Elephas maximus indicus: one gene and its partner. The protein of the gene in region 1 purifies or fractionates together with the protein of each later gene. This does not show direct contact. Links are inferred from orthologs where the notes say so. Each region holds a gene or a part of one and is shown on either strand. Other genes may lie near its edges.

Region 1 (9,375 bases):
TCCTCCTTAAAGAATTCTTTAACACTCCGAGTAGCTGTGTTTATAGATTCTGAAGTTACAAGCTTTTCTTACATCGGAAAGTCAAGATAATTATTTTATACATTATTGGGAATGCTTTCAAATGTACTTTAGATCTCAGCACACAGAATTATGAATATTATTCTAAAAGAAAAAAAAAAGTTACTTCTCCAGTGTCTAGAACTTAATTAGAAGAGACATAACTGCATAAAGCTTAATGCCCCATTTTCCATTTATTTCTGAAGTAGAGACATCCTCCCATGAAAATGCTGTATGTTGATTTGGCTGGATCCAGAGCCTGGTACTTAGCATTAGAGTAGAATCAGGAGTGAGTACAGGTCGGGTGAGATCAGCTCCTTGATAACTAAATTGTGGCCTTGATTTTCATAAAGGTTACAAACTGATTTTCATCCTGAGTTTCTATATCGTGTTTCTTAAGAACTTTCACAGACAATTTGTTTTTGGTCTTAAATTTCACATATTTATTTTTAGAAATTTTACCATAATTTGTTCTCCCACTCTTGAATTAGTCAGTGAAACCAAGATATTTTTAAATGTCAGAATTTGAAAGCACAAGAATTTTGGAGGATATAAGCCAATAACACATGAAGAGGTGTTGGATAATGAGTCCAAAGTGTCATAGGGACCTGAGGACCTCTAATAGACCTTTTTCGCTCAAATTTGAAATGCTTGGTTACAACTGGATTTTTTTGTATCTGAAAGACATAGATATTTATGGAAGAAATAAATGGAACCTTTGGAATATTTCTAATTGTTCACAATATTCTTAAATTTCTTCCTTCTTAGAAAAAGTACATGAACCAAGAATAATTCGATACACTGAAATAACTGTTGCCTTAACTTTTTTTTATCTGTTCACTGATAGGGAAAATCTCAATACCATCTTTCTGGATGTCTAAGAGAGACTTGGCTACCGGACTTGGCATTACCCAAAGCCAGTATTTGGGATATGTGCGTTCTTGACAAAGCTGCAGTAAAGCTTCAGAGAACTGTAGGCTCAAGTCAATCTAAAATTTGATTAAAAAGGCAAGTTGAAATCAATGAGTAGCAGAAGAAATCCCTCTTTAAAATAAATAAGGAATTAAGCACTGTTGTTTGCACAGTAAATGATACTAGGTGTGGTAGGCTAGATAATGGAAACTACAGTGAATTAAGGATATATTTCATTTTGATGTTGGGAAAAATCAGTGAGATACTATTAGCATTTTAATATCTGTGATCAGAACTAAGCACTGTGCTTGGGACAATGTTGATGGTAACAGCACTTGCAGGAAAGATAGAGCTTTAAACTGAAATCTCATGGAGAACCATTTGGTAGAAAAAAAAGTTCTCCAATTCATCCCTTACTCTTCATATGTAAACAAGATTCAGGAATCTTGACCGAAAAGCTTTTAATTATGCAAAAAAGAAATATCAAACATTTACAAATATAATTTCATTACAGGGCTATGCTTACCTAAATTGCTTTGAAAATCACTAAAATATTATTATGGACATATAATTTTAATATTTCCTAGTGAGGTTGAAGTTTTAATTCCTGATACATATCATCTGTGTCAGAATTTCTACAAAAATACCTTTGTAAAAAAAATGTGTTGTTGTTGTTGTGGAGAATATGCCCAGAAAAAACATGCACCAAATTCGAGCTTCTACATGTGCAATTCAATGACACTGAGTATATTCTTCAAGTTGTGCAACCATTCTCACCCTCCTGAGTTGTTCCTCCTCATTAATGTAAACTCACTGCCCCCTAAGGTTCCCTTCTAATCTTTCAATTGTTGTTGTCAGTTTGATCCCATATAGATAGATCTTCAAAGTGCATTGTTTGGTTTTAAGAAGACTTCAAGGGATAATTTTGGTTTAAGGTTTAAAGGTTATCTTAGGGTAAAAGTTTTGGGGGTTCATCCAGCGTCTATGGCTCCAGGAAATCTGGATTCCATGAAAATTTGAAATTCCGTTTTGCATTTTTCCCCTTTTGATCAGGATTCTTCTATAGAATCTTTGATTAAAATCTTCAGTAATGGTAGCTGGGCACCATTCAGTTCTTCTAGTCTCATGGCAAAGGAGGCAGTTGTTCACGGAGGCAATTAGCCACACATTCCTTTTCTTCTATTCCCAACTTTCCTTCTTCCTCTGTTGCTCCAGGCAAATGGAGATCAATCATTGTGTCCTGGATGACCACTTGCAAGCTTTTAAGGCCCCTGGCACTATGCAACAAACTAGGCTGTAGAGCAGAAGCACTAAGCATGTTATTAGGCCAATTAATTGAGATGTTCCACGAAACCATAACCCTAAACCTCCAAACCAAGAAATCAAATTGCATAAGGTGTTTGGTTGTACATAAGCAGCCTCAGCAACTACTCTTTTTTTTTTTTTTTGTCATTGTTATAGCTATCACACAACTTTTGACAGTTCAACATTTTACAGGTTTACAACTTATTGACAACAATTAAACAATAATCAGCTGTGCTATCCTACCCTTAATCAATGCAATTTTTCCATCACTGTAAACTGAAACTCAGTACTCCATAAGCAGTGATCTTCCCTTCTGCCCCACTATCCAAAAACACACTTTAGGGGGTACATTTCTGAGAATTCCACAGAACCATATTCTTGTAGTTAACCTGTTATTTCTGCTTATGTTCCTTGAGAATGAATATCAATGACTTTTAGCTGGCAATTTTATATCCCTTTAATTCTAACTTTTGACCTTGTTATGGTAAACATGGAGAAAGCTGGACAATGAAAAAGGAAGACTGAAGAAGAATTGACAGACACCAATTACGGAGTTGGTGAAGAATATTGAATTTACGTGGATTGCCAGAAGAATGAACAAATCTGTCTTGGAAGAAGTACAGCCAGAATTCTCCTTAGAAGCTAGGATGGCAAAACTTTGTCTCACTTATTTTGGACATATTATCAGGAAAGACCAATCCCTGGAGAAGGACTTCATGCTAGGTAAAGTAGAGGGTCAGGAAAAAGGAGGAAGACTCTCAAGGAGATGAACTGACACAGTAACTGCAACAATGGTCTCAAACATAACAACAATTGTAAGGACGGTGCGGGGCCAGGCAACATCTCATTCTGTTATACATGAGGTTGCTGTGAGTCACAGCCGACTCAACGGGCACCTAGCAACAACAACAAGCAAAGTGGTGAGACGAGGGTGAATCTGTTCCCCTTCTTCTTTCTGGAGTCTCCCTTGTCTTTCCAGAAAGCATCCTTTTCTTTCACTCACCCTGTTTCCTGGAAACCAAGGTGTCAAACTGAAGCATATGATCTACCCTGAACCTCACTGACCCCACCAGCCCTTTCAAAATCTTTATATTATTGTCAATGCTTTTTGCCCTCCTATTGAACCTTGCAAAGTTCAGAATTCTGTTTCCTGACACCATAGCTCACTTCTGGTTTATACTGGGTGATCACAGATTATTCCTACCATTGACTGTAAGCAAGTCATGTAGCCTATCAAGGACACCATCAGCTTTACCCCCATTTTTATTTTGAAAAATGTTAACCTCTGGAAAAAGAATTTGCTGAACCATTTGAATAATGTAATATTTTTAGTGTATTATTAAAACAGTGACTAGTTGTTAATAATACAAGTAGTGCTTGACTTACGATGGAGTTCTGTTCCAACGACTCTGCAGAAGCTGGTTCTGACGTAAGTCGAATACTTTTTTTTTTTTTAGTTTTCATCATTATTGCCATAGCCTTCTACTGGCAGTGTTTTGAACAATAAATCATAACATTGAACCTCTGCGAGTGAACATCTAAGAATGATAACATCAACAAGTTTTGTGCTGCAACATTGTAGGTAGTACATCCTGAAGTTAGGATGTACAAACAACAACGAAAAAACAGATGGTCCTAAGCGTGGTTCCTCGGAACTGGAATAGGTTGAGGACTACCCATACCTCAACAAACTTCATTTAAAAAAGCAGTATTTGCTGAGCACTGAAGAAACCCTGGTGGCATAGTGGTTAAGTGCTATGGCTATTAACCAAAAGGTCAGCAGTTGGAATCCACCAGGCACTCCTTGGAAACTCTATGGAGCAGTTCTACTCTGCCCTATCGGGTCACTATGAGTCAGAATGGACTCATAGGTCAGTGGGTTGGTTGGTAGCAGGGAAAACACTGTGCTCAGAGCATTGCAGGTATTATTCAACCAAAAATTTCCATGAATTGGAACTATTAACTGTTTCAGTTTTACAGATGAGGAAGCTGGGTCTTAGCGTAAAGTGCCCAAGTCCACATCCTTAGAAAGACACAGAATTCAAATCTCTGTGACTAACTCCAGAGCTCTGGTTTTAACCAGTACACGATATCCATTAAAATGCATGTGTGGACATAATAATGAAAAGACAAGCAGCTAAAGAAGACATTTTGGGAAAAATTTGGAAAATTTTACCATGGATTGTTTATTAATAAATATGAAATTGCTGTTAATTTTCTTAGGTATGATAATGACATCGTGATACATAGGAAAAATATCCAAAAATTTATGCAATAATGCTAAAACTTCATCTGGGAATAAAGCTTCATAATGTCCTCAACTTCCAAATAAATAAAATAATGGTTCCGTTAAAATGTGTGTGAACACACACACACAGCAAATACAGCATACTGTTCACAACTAGCAAATCAATGTGAGGGGTATATGGGTGTTCATTGTACTAGTCTTTCAGTATTTGTTGGCCGGAAATTTTTCAAAATTAAATGTTGATGGGAAATATGTGTCTAGAATACGCTCTTCAGAAATAATTCACAGAATCTCAGGATTATGAGACTTTAAAGGTCACAGAGTCTTATTACTCCATCTTTTTCTTCGCTAAGATTTGAATGGGTTTATTTCAACAATGGCATAAACAGGATCACACTACACATAATGTACACACAAGTATTAAAAACTATGCAAGTGTATATACCCCAGCTGGCATGGGGGTTATCTCTGGGGTGGGGGAGGTGGTATTAACGGAAAATATTACTTTCCTTATTTGCTTACATTTTTATAACGATTGTGTATTATCAGAAATACCAAAGTTTCCTTTTTTAAAATTCCATTTAAAAATAAACGAAAGCACTAAAAATTCCGAACTCCTTCATTTTCCATCGGTGAAACCCGTAAATATGTTATGGAAGGTAGAATCTTTATTCTGCTAGTTCCCTACTGGCGGCCTTTCAGGAAGTAAATGGGATTCCTGGGATTCTACTGCTGGTTCCACCTACGAATGGATCTCTGCTTGCAAACAAAAACTAAGACCAAAAAATGTAACCTTTTAGAATGAGGCAAGTGGCGGCTGAAAAGAGTTAAATTCTTGAACTAGGGACGCATCCTTCAGTGCCCTTAACTCCCCGATCTCCGGCGAGCAGCCGACAGGAGGGGAAGTCGCCAGAAACCCCAGGAACCGAGGCCATCCGGGCGTTGGTTCCGGCCTACAGCTCCGGCCTTCGGGGCGGGACGGGCACGCCCATCTCCCGCCCTCATCCAATAGGGAGTGAGGAGGTGGGGCCCGGACGCCCCTGGAGACGGGGCGGGGCAAAGGGGGTGTGTCTGGGGCGGGGCCGACAGGTCCCTGAGAGCGGCGACCTTCCTCCGCCCGGCGCAGGTGGAGCGGCCCTCGGGGCCCGGGCTTCGGCCTCGGGCGTCCGGAAATGGCGGTGGCAGGCAGGACGGAGGACGTGAGTGCACGAAAGTGGCGAGCGGCCGTCCCCGGGAATCCCCTTCCTCCTGTGCTGGGGCGCGCGGGGCGGGGACTGCGGGGGAAGCTACCACAACCAGGGCGTCACGGCTGGAGGGGTGCTGCCCGCGCCCGCGGCCAGGCTGGGGCGCTGCGTTGGGTGGGAAGCCGCCAGGCCACCCCGAGGGGTGCGCAGCCCGCGCCGCTCACGGCTTCTCCGGGTGGACGCCGGGGTTGGCTTCCGGGCGGTGGGTTCGGGAACCTGGAGACCCCAGGCCGGTGCCCAGCCCACGTGCGCGCGCGTCTGTGATTCCGGAACTGGGCGCTTCACGTGATAGGGCGTCTGACCTGACAGTCCTGCTTTGGGGTGCGTCTTTGGGCCCCCGGATGCCCTCAGACGCTCCTGGAGGCGCAGGGGGCGAATCTCCCTTTCCTGCCTGGTCCCCAGCCCGGGCTCCGGAAAACTGTGGACCTGAAGCGGCTGCTAGGCGCGGGCCGGACGCCAGCGTCCCCGCGGGCAGACCTGTCACTGTGAACGCCCACACTGGAGAAAAACAGTGTCATGTGCTATTTTGAATCTAGGTATGGTAGGAGTAAAAAGATTACAAAAATCTCCTTACTTAGAAGAATCCAAACCAGATAACTGAAAAACCCAGTGGTTTTTTATAATACAGGGTCGTACACAATTGCAAAAATCTTTTTTCTTTGCTTAACTGTATTAAGATATTATTAAGGAGGTGCACGTATTTGTGCCCGTTGGCCGGTAACAATAATACTTGCCGTTGAGAAATGTAAAGATGACGGTTACATTAAGGCACTTTGGATTAATAAATTAATCGGAATACTACTGTGACCCCATCCCTGAATGAGACAAGCAGAAAACATGATTCCAGCCTGCAAGACCTTATATTCTTGTGAAATATTGACTATAGCGAAATCATCTTGAGCAAATAAAAACTGAACAATTTCTAACGGTAAGACTAAAAATGTCTTTTTTTTTTCACTTGAGAGAATGGAAAATTAACTGTAAGACCTTGAAGTAGATTTGAGATTCACAGATGTATATTTTTAAAATCCGATATATTTGAGTATTTAAGGGTGAGATTCAAGAGCTAAAAATTTATGGAAAAAATGAATAAGAGGAAAATGAGAGAGTTTTTTGAAAAAAGGAGGCAGTAAGTGCTTCTTGGTGCAAAGATGTCCAAGAATTCTTGGATCTGTAACTTTTAACTTTATAATAACTAACCCTAGAAATCTGTTTCATCAAACCATTGGAGATTAATATTTTACCAACAATTATGTAGCTAAATAACTTTAGATCTGAGCAAGTTGACTGCTTTCGTATTTTATAGATGTGATTTCTAGCATTCAGTAAAAACCTAAAAATTCTGAGCCATGTAGTAGGCCCAGACACATAAATGAGTTAAAAGAGCCAAAGACTTTTAATTATGGTTTGTTATTTGCAAGCAGTGGGACCAGTTCTGGCTAGTTTAAGGAAGAAAGGAATACATGTTAAAGATTACAGGGTAGATTAACAACTAGACCTCTGAAAGGACCTAAACCAGGGTAGGTCACGAGGTCTAGGCGACGAAAGGTTTTTTTTTCAGGGTTCTGTCCTAAAATTAAGGAGTCCTGGTGGCACAGTGGTTAAGCACTCAGCTGCTAACCGAAAGGTTTGCAGTTTGAACACGCCAGCTGTTCCACAGAAGAAAGATGTGACAGTCTGCTTCCGTAAAGATTACAGCCTTGGAAACTCTATGGGGCAGTTCTGCTCTGTCCTATCGGCTCACTGTGATTGGGAATCTACTCAGTGGCAACAGGTTGGGTTTGGTCTTTTGGTCCTAAAATTAATCCTCCTCAGCCATGGTCTCTCTTTGCTTTGTTGCTCACAGGAGTTCAATTGGCACAATCCTCTCTGGTTCCATGACCATATGTAGGCCAGAGAAGAGTGAAGGGTATTGAAGAATGTTCCCAGGGAGACAATGCAGAGGTAGATGGGTAGGTCCCCAAAGCAAATAGAAGTTTGTCATAAAAGAAGAGGGAAGAGATACCATGTGGGCAAAAACAACAGATGTCTTCTGCAGGTGACAGTGTAGTTATTAATAGTGCCATGATGAATACTTCTGCATTCAGGAGTCCTCTTCCTCTCAGCTTTCACTTGCAGGTGATAAGTTACAGAGAATGACTGAGTGCCATTTCCATGGTTATGCTAGATATTTCTTATAGGATCTATATAACTGTATATTTGATATGTCCAGCACATACATTTTCTTTACTGAACATCTAATAAATGACAGAGAGAAAACCATACTATGGTCTTCATACTCTTCAGTGTAGTCAGGAAGAGCTAAAGAGGTACCCAGAAAAAAGAAAACAATACAAGACAGCGTACGAAATATTCCAAAAGAATAATAGGGGCAGTGAATTTTATAGGATGCCTGGGTGGTGCAAATGGTCAACACACTTGGCTGCTAACCAGAAGGTTGGCACTTCGAGTCCACCCAGGGACTTCTCAGAAGAAAGGCCTGGTGATCTAGCCTAGAAAAACCAGCCCTTGAAAATGCTGTGGAACCCTCTTCTAGCCTGACACACACAGGGTCCCCATGAGTTGGAACTGACTTGACGGCGTCTGGGTGAGGTACTTTTTATAGGAGTTTTAAAATAGAAACACTTATGCTTAGTATTGGAAGTTGTTTTAGAGATGTAGAAGAGGGACTTCCACCCCTGGCCAAGATGGTTGCTGCCTGAAACCACCAAAGAACACACAAAATGTATGAATCAAGTTGTAAAGATGTTGGACTTCAGCTAACGAAGGTCAGTGATCTCAGAGATCAGAAACAAACAGATGGGCTCTACGATTGCCTCAGCTTACTGCCGTAGAGTTTGCAGGCTGTGGCAGAGGTAAGGATTACAAAGATAAACGCAATAATCTGGGTGTGATCCAGATCTGGGGTGGGTCCCTCAATTTCCAGTCTCAGGTATTTGGTGCTGCTCCGCAACTCTTGCTATTCAATGCCTAGATAGTTTTCTGATTAGTTTGCCTTCTCACAACGCGCGGTACTGTTCTGATTAACTCATTGAATCTTCCCAGCAAAGCTGTGAAGCAGGTGCTATTATTCTTCCTCTTTGTTATATGAGGAAACTGAGGTACAGAGAGGTAAAGTAACTTGCCCACAGCTAGTAAGCAGTAGATCTTGTCTTTGAACCAGCTTTTTGTCTTTGGCGTGACCCTGGACTACAGTGCTTACTGCCTCTGGTCAGAGATGATTCTCAGATTTTAGCCCAAGTCTTTGGTGATGCCCGTAACCGAGTTAGGGGACATTGGAAGGACAGGTTTGGGACATCCATTCTTTCAGCAAGTGTTCACTGAGTGTTGATCATGAGACACTGTTGGGTGCTAGGATTACGAAGGCAAGAGATGGGTAGCTAGTGGGTCTAATGAGCTCTAGCTGGGAAGACAGATACCCCACTAGTAAGAAAACCACCCAAGGACACCCGGAGACAGAGGAGGTGAGCACAGAATGCTTTGGAACGCATGGTACCTATCTTCCTCAGTTTGTACTTACTGCTTCTGTCCCTGCTTTTGTGGGTATGATCTAGATCTGAAGTTCCCAGGAAAGCTAGCTGACCTCAGCTGGGCCTGGAAGGGTGCGCA
Region 2 (9,832 bases), on another chromosome or scaffold:
AAGCAGTGTTTTGTTCTGCAGTACATAGGGTCGCTTTGAGTCAGAACCAACTCGACAGCACCTAACAACAACAATTCAGTGACACTGATTACATTCTTCAAGTTGTATACCCATTCTCACTATCCTTTTCCAAGTCATTCTACCACCTTTAACATAAACTCGACACCTGCTAAGCAAAAACTCTAACCACTGATAATTAGTAACCGTTAATAATCTTTGCTTTCTCTATATTTTTTTCTCTATATTTACTATTTCATATAATTGAGATCATACATTTGTCCTTTTGTGACCGACTTATTTCGCTCAGCATGATGTTTTAGCAATCTGTGTTTTAATAATTCCTACAAGCGATTCTGATGCATGCTCAAGTTTGACAGCCATTTTGTTTAAGCAGAAAATTAAATCGCAGAGTGGGGGAATGAGAACAACTCTGCTGGGGAAAGCTAACAACTCAAAATGACATGTCTCCACTCACCCAGATATCTCTAGCTCAAGGGTTAGCAGCCTTTTGAGCCCACTATTACCTCTCTGAAGAAACCCTGGTGGAGCAATGGTTAAGCACTCCACTGCTAACTGAAAGGTTGGCAGTTGAAACCCACCAGCTCTTCCTTGGAAGAAAGATGTGGCAGTCTGCTTAGTAAAGATTACAGCCTTGGAAACCCTATAGGAGCAGTTCTACCTTGTCCTGCATGGTCACTATGAGTTGGAATTGACTTGACGGCAAAGGGGTTTTTCAAGTGACCTCTCCGTGGGGTTGAGCAATGACCTTACACTGTCCATGCTTTCACAGTTTAGAGGCATTATCCAGAAAAGAAGGAAATGCTACAGGAGGAAAAGAAAGAGATGAAGTGTAGGAAAAACTAAAAGGAGGATGGGGAGGGAGGAAAACAAGGGGAGAGAGAATGCAAATAAAACAATACAGATCAATAATCTTTAAACCTTAAATCTTTAAAACATCCCCTGAAGTCTTCTTAAAACCAAACAATAGCTTAGCTTAACTAGTAAAAAGGTCTGCCTTGAGCATTATGTTCTTTTAAGAACTATCTACATGGGATCAAATTGACAACAGCAACTTGAAAGATTAGATAGGAACCTTAGGGGGCAGTGAGTTTATGTTGATGGGAGGAACAACTCAGAAATAGAGGGTGAGAATGGTTGCACAACTTGAAGAATGCAGTCAGTGTCACTAAATAGTACATGTAGAAACCGTCAAATTGGTGTATGTTTTGCTTTGTATATTCTCAACAACAACGACAAAATGAAAATACAGATCATATGGTGGCAAGCAGATGATACCAATACTTCAGGGACACTCTTTCATTTATTCAATAAGCATTGGTTATTTTCCCATTTTAAATCTCTATACCTTCAAGTCCATTTCCTTCCCCAGCCCCCACAGTTCATTGTCTATCATTCATCGACTTTGATAGGGTCATTATTTCGTAAACCATTCAATGTGTTAGCATTTTGGGACCTGTTTAGTTTTTTTTAGTAGTGATCCCCCTGCTGTTTGGCCAAAGACTTATGAAATCTCAAAGCTGCTCAGAAGAGTCATAAACTACCTATAGTGGTGGAGTGTGAGGTGAAGATTAAGGAGTTCTGCCCACTGGAGAGGTATGAGCTCTGGTCAAGAGAGAAAGTGCATATAAATGCCCTCTGGACCCAGCAGTATCAACAACAGACTTGAGAGAGGGATGTCAAGGAGTTCCTCAAACACCAACCCCAGACCAATGTGTAGATCTGCCTCTATTACAAAATGTTGCATAAGATTTAATCTTAGAAAATTAAGAGAGTGATAAAATTTGTTTTTTTAATTTTTTTTCTTGAAAATTTGCAAAACATGAGGTAAAACATGAAGGGACCTGGTAATGACTGCACATACATTTTATTCTAGTCTCCATCTTCTTAGCCTTTTTATTATTTTTCATGAAACATTTTTCAAAACATGGTACAATGCATTCTTCTTTACTGCAAAAGCAGTACTTACAGCCCAAATAAATAAAGCCAAGGGACTTTTTATATCAAGAAAATTACCACTGCAATGCTTTCTTCATTACTGCAAAAGAAGTATTAATAGGCCAAATAAATAAAACTAACAGAATTTGAATCTCAGGAAAATTACTACTACTGTGTATTCTCATTAATACAAAAGCAGTACTAACAGCTAAGAAGCAGAAACAGCTGCCCTGGAATACTGCAGAACTGCTCACAGTGGTGCATGCCACCTGCTACATGTGGAAGCAATGACTGGACCCTAAGACTGAATGCAGAGTAGGAATAATTTACAGGAGTTCCAATCTCTTAAAAAGTACCACTTCAACGCATTATTCCTTATTGGAAAGGCATTATTTACTGTTCAGAAGCTAGAAAAGATGGAAGCCAGTAACACCTGGAAACAATGAATGGCATGAAGGAGAAATGGCCACTATGGATGAAGACTGGCAACAGCTTATTGTCGCAATAAGTACATTCTCATGAGAACATAGCAAGTGGGAAACATAGTGAAGAGGAGGCTTATCTCACAGAAATAAAGGCAAACCTGTCAAAAGTTTAGAAAATTCACACAATTGAAAGGCATCACCCTAACACAATGCTCAATCTACACAAAAACGAGGCTTCCACTCGGGATTTTTGAGTTTCACGCATTTCAAAAGGCTCCCACCTTAAGGATAAAGGCGTTAAAATTGGGCTATCCCCTTTCCAAAGAACTCCAGAGACCTAAAAAGTAGGTGGGATAAAATTTGTCCTATGGGTCTTGAAAGGGTTTAAGAACAGGGATCCATTGTCTTACAGTTCTGAGGGCTAGAAGTCCAGGTATTGATTGTGTTGATTCCTCCTGAGGGTTCTGAGAGAGTGACTGTTCCATGCCTCTCTCTAGGTTCTAATGGTTGCTGGCAATCCTTAGCATTCCTTTGCTGTTTGCTGATGTATCTTCACATGGTGTCTTCTCCCTGTCTCCATGTCTGTTTTCCCCTTGTATTAAGACATCATTCAGAAGGGGATAGGACCCACCCTACTGTGGTATGACTTTATTAATTGATAACAAAAGGATAACCCTATTTATAAACAAGGACTAAGGTGCACCTGGCTCAAGCCACGGTATTTTCAATTGCCTCATATGCATGCAAAAGCTGGATAACAACAACAACAACAAAAAAAAAACACAAAAAAGAAGAATTAATGCATTTGAATTATGGTGTTGGTGAAGCATCTTAAATAAACCACGGACTTCCAGAAGAATGAACAAATCTGTGTTGGAAGAAGTAGAGTGAGAATGCTCCTTAGAAGCAAGGATGGCAAGACTTTGCCTCATGTACTTTGGACATGTCCCGGGAGAAGGACATCATGCTTGGTAAAGTAGAGGGTCAGGGAAAAAGAAGACCCTCAACAAGAAGGATGGACACAGTTGCTGCAACAGTGGGCTCAAACATAGTAACGATTGTGAGGATGCCACTGGACCTGGCAGTATTTCATTGTGTCCTACATAGGGTCGCTGTAAGTCAGATTCAACTCAATGGGACCTAACAACACAAACAAGGCCACATTCATAGGAACAGGGGTTAGAACTTCAACCTATCTTTTTTGGGGAAACAATTCGATCCGTAACAATTACCATCTCAAAATGTCACTTCTTATTAATGGTGAGGCATTAAAGGACCTTTTGCTAAAGGCAGTGCCTAAAGTTGTAGTGAATATTAGTCCTGTATTGGGCAAGTCATTTACTCATGACTCAGTTTCTTCTATGACAGAAGACATACATTGCCAAGTGTTCTCACTTTCAGGAATTAATTATATTAAAACAAACTATAGTGAGGGTAGATCAAAAACAAAAAAACATTGCCATCGAGGCGATTCGACTCATAGAAACCCTATAGGACAGAGTAGAACTGCCTCATAGGGTTTCCAAGGAGCATTCGATGGATTGGAACTGGTCAGAGGTTGAGCTCTTAACCACTGTGGCACCAGGGCTCCAAAAGGGTACATTAGTGATTCTTAATATTTGAGTGTGGGGGAGGTAGAGAGTTACAGGTCCCATCTGAGAACTCATGAAAGCTAGAAACCTCCCCCATAAAAATAAACGTACATAAATGTTGCATGCAACTTCTGGGAAGTCAAAGACCCTCCTCCCAAGTCCATTCACAGAGGCAATTAAAATCCCCAGGACAAGATGGTTTTGAAGCTGTATTTCAGTGTTTCTCAAAGTGTGGTCTATGGGTGATAGGAATGAGAACCACTTGGTGTGCTTGTTTAAAAAGAGATCCCTAGGACTACTACATACCTACTGTTTCAGGATCTCTGGGGGATGATGCCAAGGAACCTGTGTGTCTTTAAAAAGCCCCAGGTGATTCTTTTGGAAAATAACATTTGAGAATCAGTACTTTATTCCAGCTTGAGGTTTTCGGATGCTTTCATTTGTTGAAGACTTTAGGTTTCATCCGTTTACCTGTCAAGTATATCAAACAGTGAGTTCAGTATGGTCTCATTAAAAATTTACATGTGTATATACATGTATTTTGAGATATATATATATATGTGTGTATAAACCAAAAAACCAAACCGGTTGCCATTGAGTCGATTCTGACTGATAGCGACTTTATCGACCTTATAGGACAGAGTAGAACTGCCCCGTACGGTTTCTAAGAAGCGCCTGGTGGATTTGAACTGCCAACCTTTATGGTTAGCAGCCGTAGCTCTTAACCACTAGGCCACCAGGGTTTCTATACATATGTATGTATATATATTTCTCAGGATGTTAACAGTGTTTCTCTCCAGGTAGTGGGATTATGGAAGATCTTAATTTTTTCCCCTTTATCCTTCTATTTTCTTTTTCTTTATTTTTTTTTTCCTGTATTTAAAAAAGGCTCTTCCTCTTTTTGGGTTCAGTTCTCCCAACTGAAACACAAGGATGTTGCAAGTAGATGAATTTAAAGGTCATGTCCTGCTTTGGTGGTCAGGGACTCATTACTACCCTCTAGCTTACTTGTCCATTAATAGCATGATCTGCATAGGTACTAAGTGCGTGCTCAATACAACCAAAAACCCACTGCCGTCCAGTCGATTCCAACTCATATGTATTACGTTGAGATGCCTGGCCACCGTTTTTATCCCAGCAAAATCATTCTCTTCTTTCTCAAGGAGCCATAACTGAAATAATCTCTACTATCTACACCCCGCCCCCTCCTGCAAAAAAAAAAGTTTATCCTCTCGCTATGGTTTTAAAAAAGGCCGTCCGCGCACATCTCTTATGAACTTAAGAATGGTTGTGAACCAAAAAGCCAGGGCTTCATCGCCCCGCCCCCCGGCCCTACCCCACCGCCCCTTCTCGACGCTTTCTAGAGCGGGGATTGGCTGAAGGCAAGAAAGAGCCCTGCCCTGAGTCTTATGACTCGCGCTTAAGCGCTGATTCCTGGCTCTGGCAGCGTCGTGGTCAGTGGTCACCGGAGCTGTTACCCAAGTCCCAACGAGCAGCTTCCTTGGTGTTGCTGCTCTTGTCGCCGCCGCCGCCGCCGCCGCCTCTTGGTTTGCGGTATCATGATGTACCGAGGCCTCCGCCTCTCCCCGGTTCCGGGCTTGGGGCTGGTTCTGCTTTGCGTCGTCCTGGGTGAGTTGTCAGGCCCGCCGGCTTAGGCTCCCAGCCTAGGCCCGGCGGGGCGTCACTTCAAAGGCTACAAACTTGAAAGACTGGTCGGCGGGGCGGGGTTGGAGGGGCTGACGAGCTGACACTGAGCGGCGGCGGCAGGCCCGGGGAGGCGAACAGTAACCTAGAGTAGGCCTGACCGAGGGGTGGTGGGGAAGATGGGCCCAGGAGAGTAGGATGGGGCAATAAGGGGGGGCTGGTGGACGCCGAGGGAGTGGGTAGAGAAGAGTGAGGAGGGGAGGAGGTCGGGGTAGAAAGAATAACTTGGAAGGATACTGAGGAGTGCGCGTAGGAGGGCGGTTCCTGCAGATTAAGGGGTGGTAGAGACAATTTGGAGAGGAAAATCCTGGTTTCCCAGGAGCAGGGGCGAGTTTGGGAGATGGTAGCGAAACTATGGAGTGGGTGAGAAAATTGCAGAGGGAAGAGACTGAGCCTGCATGGAGAAGTTTGGGGGAAAAGCTTAGGTAGGGGACAGATCTGAGGATTCAGTCTCAGGAGTAGGGAGGGGAGTGGAATGGTATTTGTAGGTAGGAATTTGAGGCCATGAAGGAAGGAGCTGAGGAATGATGCTGGGTTTAAGTTTGGTAATCAGAGCGTTTTTTTTTTTTGTAGTATCACATTTTTTAAATTTTTTAAATTTGCCTTTGAACAGCTAATTCATAACATTGTACAAAATTATCAGGAGGTGAAAATTTAGTAGGAAAAATATAAAAGTTATAAAAAGATATACAGGAAAATTAAGTCTCCCTTCCCTGTCGGTCCTCCAGCAACCCAGAGGCAACCATTGTTACTAGCTGCTTGTTATTACTTCAGAGATATTTTATGCATATGTATAACCAAAAACCCAAATGAAACCCATTGCCGTGGAGTTGAGCTCTTAACCACTTCACCACCAGGGCTCCTGCATAGGTAGAATAGTTTTTTTTAAAAAAAGAAATAATAGCAAACTATGTGCACAATTCTGCACTTCGCTTTTTTAGTTAAAAATCTATATTCTAGAAACTGTTCCCCAGCATTATATGAAACTTTTCTCATTTGTTTTTTCTTGTTGTCGTTATTTTTTTCTAAATTTTATTTTGTTGTTGTTATTGAGAATATACTTACTAAACATATACCAATTCAACAGTTTCTGCATGTATAATTTAGTGACATTGATTGCATTCTTCAAGTTGTGCAACCATTCTCACCCTCCTTTTCTGAGTTGTTCTTCCTTCATTAAGGTGAACTCACCGCCCCCAAGGTTCCTGTCTAATCTTTTGAGTTGCTGTTGTCACTTTGATCCTGTATAGATAGTTCTTAAAAGAGCATATTGCTCAAGGCAGGCCTTTTTTTTTTTTTTTACTAGTTAAGCTAAACTGTTGTTTGGTTTTAAGACTTCAGGGGGTATTTTGGGTTTAAGCTTTAAAGATTATCTCAGGGCAATAGTTTCAGGGGCTCATCCAACTTCCATTGCTCCAGAAAGTCTGGAGTCCATGAGAATTTGGAATTCTGTTCTGTATTTTCCCCCCTTTTGATCGGGATCCTGCTATAGAATCTTTGATCAAAATATTCAGTAATGGTATCCGGGCATCATCCAGTTCTTCTGATCTCCTGGCAAAGGAGGCAGTGGTTCATGTAGGCAATTAGCCACATATCCCATATCCTTTTCCTATTCTTGACTCTCCTACTTCCTCTATTGCTCCAGGTGAATGGAGACCAATTGTTGTGCCTTGGATGGCACTTGCAAGCTTTTAAGACCCCAGGCACTACACAACGAACTAGGAGGTAGAACAGAAGCACTAATCATGTTATTAGGCCAGTTAGCTGGGATGTTTCATGAAACCATGACCCTAAACCTCTAATCCAAGGAACCAAATCCCATGAGGTGTTTGGTTACATATAGGTAGAGTTTTGAGGATGAAGGAACCTAAGGTGGTTGGGGCAATTTTGAGGCAAGAAACTTGGACCCAACTTCGGGAGACTAAAGGAGGAAGTGGGGAGTGAATTTCTGATTTGGATGTATTGAGGATGTTGTTTTTCTACCATTTTTGCTCCTTCCTCCCAGCCAGACCCTGACAAAGAAATCCCCCAGATGCTTCACTTGGGGAGAATCTCCCAAATGTGAGGTTTTGCGGGTGGTATATTTGCATCTTGTATACTACCTCCTTGCCTTCCGAGCCTCTTTTTTTCTTCTCCCTGAACCCATAAGTAGCCTATTACTTTGGTTTGTTTGTTTTTTGGGAGGGAGGATAGGTAGCTTCCTAAGGACTGAGTTGTTACCAGGTCCTAAGAATGACTGGGTGAATGTTGGCTGATTGTGCTGTGCCTCTAAGTGGTGCCCTAATAGCTCTAAGGCCTGAAAAGTGAACTTTGACCAGAATATCTCTTCCCGACTGGATCATCCCATGCTTGTTGCTACCCACTGGCTCTTGCTATCTGTGAAATAATAAAAGAACAGAAGGAACAGACTGAGATGGGAGTGGGGAAGAAACAGGCATATTAGGGGTCTGAGAAGGCAGTGAGAGGAATACAATTTGTAATTCACATTTCTATAGGATCAAATCAACACCCTACAACAGTGCTTCTCAACCAGGGGATAGTTGGCAATATCTCAAAGCGTTTTGAGTGGTCATAACTGGGGTGGGGATGGCTTCTGGCATCTAGTAGGTAGAGGCTAGGAATGCTGCTAGACATCCTACATGCACAGACCAGCCCGCCCCCCCCACACAAAGAATTATCCCACTCAAAATGGCGGTAATGCTGAGGTTGAGAAACCCTGCCCTAGAACCATAGCATTGGAAGGGTTCTTGATTATCTAATCCCATGATTCTCAAAGATCTTTTTATGGGGTCTGTGAGAGCAAAACTATTCTCAGAACAAAACTAAGAGGTTATTTTTTTCACTCTCACCCGTGTACGGTGGAGTTTTCCAGAGGCTATTTAATGTGTGGTGACATCACCACGCGGATGGCTCTGATGTTCTTGTGTTTTATGAATTGCTCAGTTTTAGTCTCTGATGTGGTAAATATCGGTAGATATAACACACAAACCACAGCTCCTTGAGGTCGTCATTGGATAAGAGTGTAAAAGGGTCCAGACACCAAAACATTTAAGAGTCCCTGATCTAATCCAGCTGTCCACACAGTGCAGGAAACTTCTGTAGCATGTCTCCAGGAGGGCCAGGGAGGCTGTGCTTGAATGCTTAATTCAAAGTCTTAACTCTACCATGAAGCACTTACTGAGGCCTGAGTGACCCTAAGAAAGGATTGTTTACAACAGAAAGCCCCTTATCAGTGACAAGAACGCATTTGACGAAGGCATCTGTTAATCAGTAGTTCACTGCCAATTTGTGCACAAACACAAGGCTGCTATTGTTTAGGGAAAGTAAAAAAAAAAGTTGTCTTATTTGTTGGCTTTCATGCCATTAACCTTTTTGATTATTGTGGTAAATATATGTGTGACAAAGCATTTGCCATTTCAACATTTTTTACATGTACAATTCAGTGACATAATTAAAATGATGAAAGCTTTTTTGTTTTGTTTTAGAAAATCAGTGCCAGATCATTGGAGGAAAAAAAAAAAACAGGCAAAAAGATGTGCATAGATGAACCCATCAGCTAGCTCATCTACTGGTTTGCCATTTATTGATTGGGACTAACTAGATTTAGCCTCTTGGAATATTCGTAAGACTGATTCCTTCCACCTCCAAGTTCAGAACAGAATTTGGAGGAGTAAATGTTCATAATGTATCTAGATCAGATTTTTAACAGGTTCCAGGAGAAAACAGACCATCAGGGTGGACCTCAGAGTCTCCTTATGTTGCTTTTTAGAATTCAGCAGGTCTTCAGTTGCTTGGTGGGTTTTGCATGTTATTTTTACATATCAAAGTGGATACCAAGAATAGGTTTTTGAAAACTTAATAAATATTTATAAGGTACCTGCTATGTACCTAATAACTGCCTGGGTACTGTAGAGGGTACCAGTGAGCAGGATCTGTCCTGAATTTATAGTCTCATTAGTAACTTGTGCTCTGTGTGTGCCAGTTTCGCTTTGTAACTCTATCCCAGCTCCATTGGTAATTTTTTAAAAATAGCTGCTGTAGAGTTAAGTATAGAAAGTAATTCTTAGAGTCTGTGTATTGGCCTTCTTCACAGAAATTAAATAATGCTGACACATTTACTTGAATGAATTTTAACTGACCAGAGGATTTTCTGAG

Evidence for each region.
Region 2: the proteins of TMEM192 (region 1) and LAMP2 purify together in Homo sapiens (affinity purification with western blotting; 5 studies listed by BioGRID and IntAct, with this or other methods). This does not show direct contact. The link is inferred for Elephas maximus indicus from reciprocal best matches to the Homo sapiens genes TMEM192 and LAMP2.

Annotation. Positions count from the first base shown.
Region 1 is NC_064839.1:60,352,776-60,362,150, reverse strand, and holds the start of TMEM192 (transmembrane protein 192), read left to right. Parts: upstream 1-5,599; 5' UTR 5,600-5,694; coding exon 5,695-5,721; intron 5,722-9,375.
Region 2 is NC_064846.1:36,114,456-36,124,287, forward strand, and holds the start of LAMP2 (lysosome-associated membrane glycoprotein 2), read left to right. Parts: upstream 1-5,504; 5' UTR 5,505-5,532; coding exon 5,533-5,602; intron 5,603-9,832. UniProt on the Homo sapiens protein: Lysosomal membrane glycoprotein which plays an important role in lysosome biogenesis, lysosomal pH regulation and autophagy.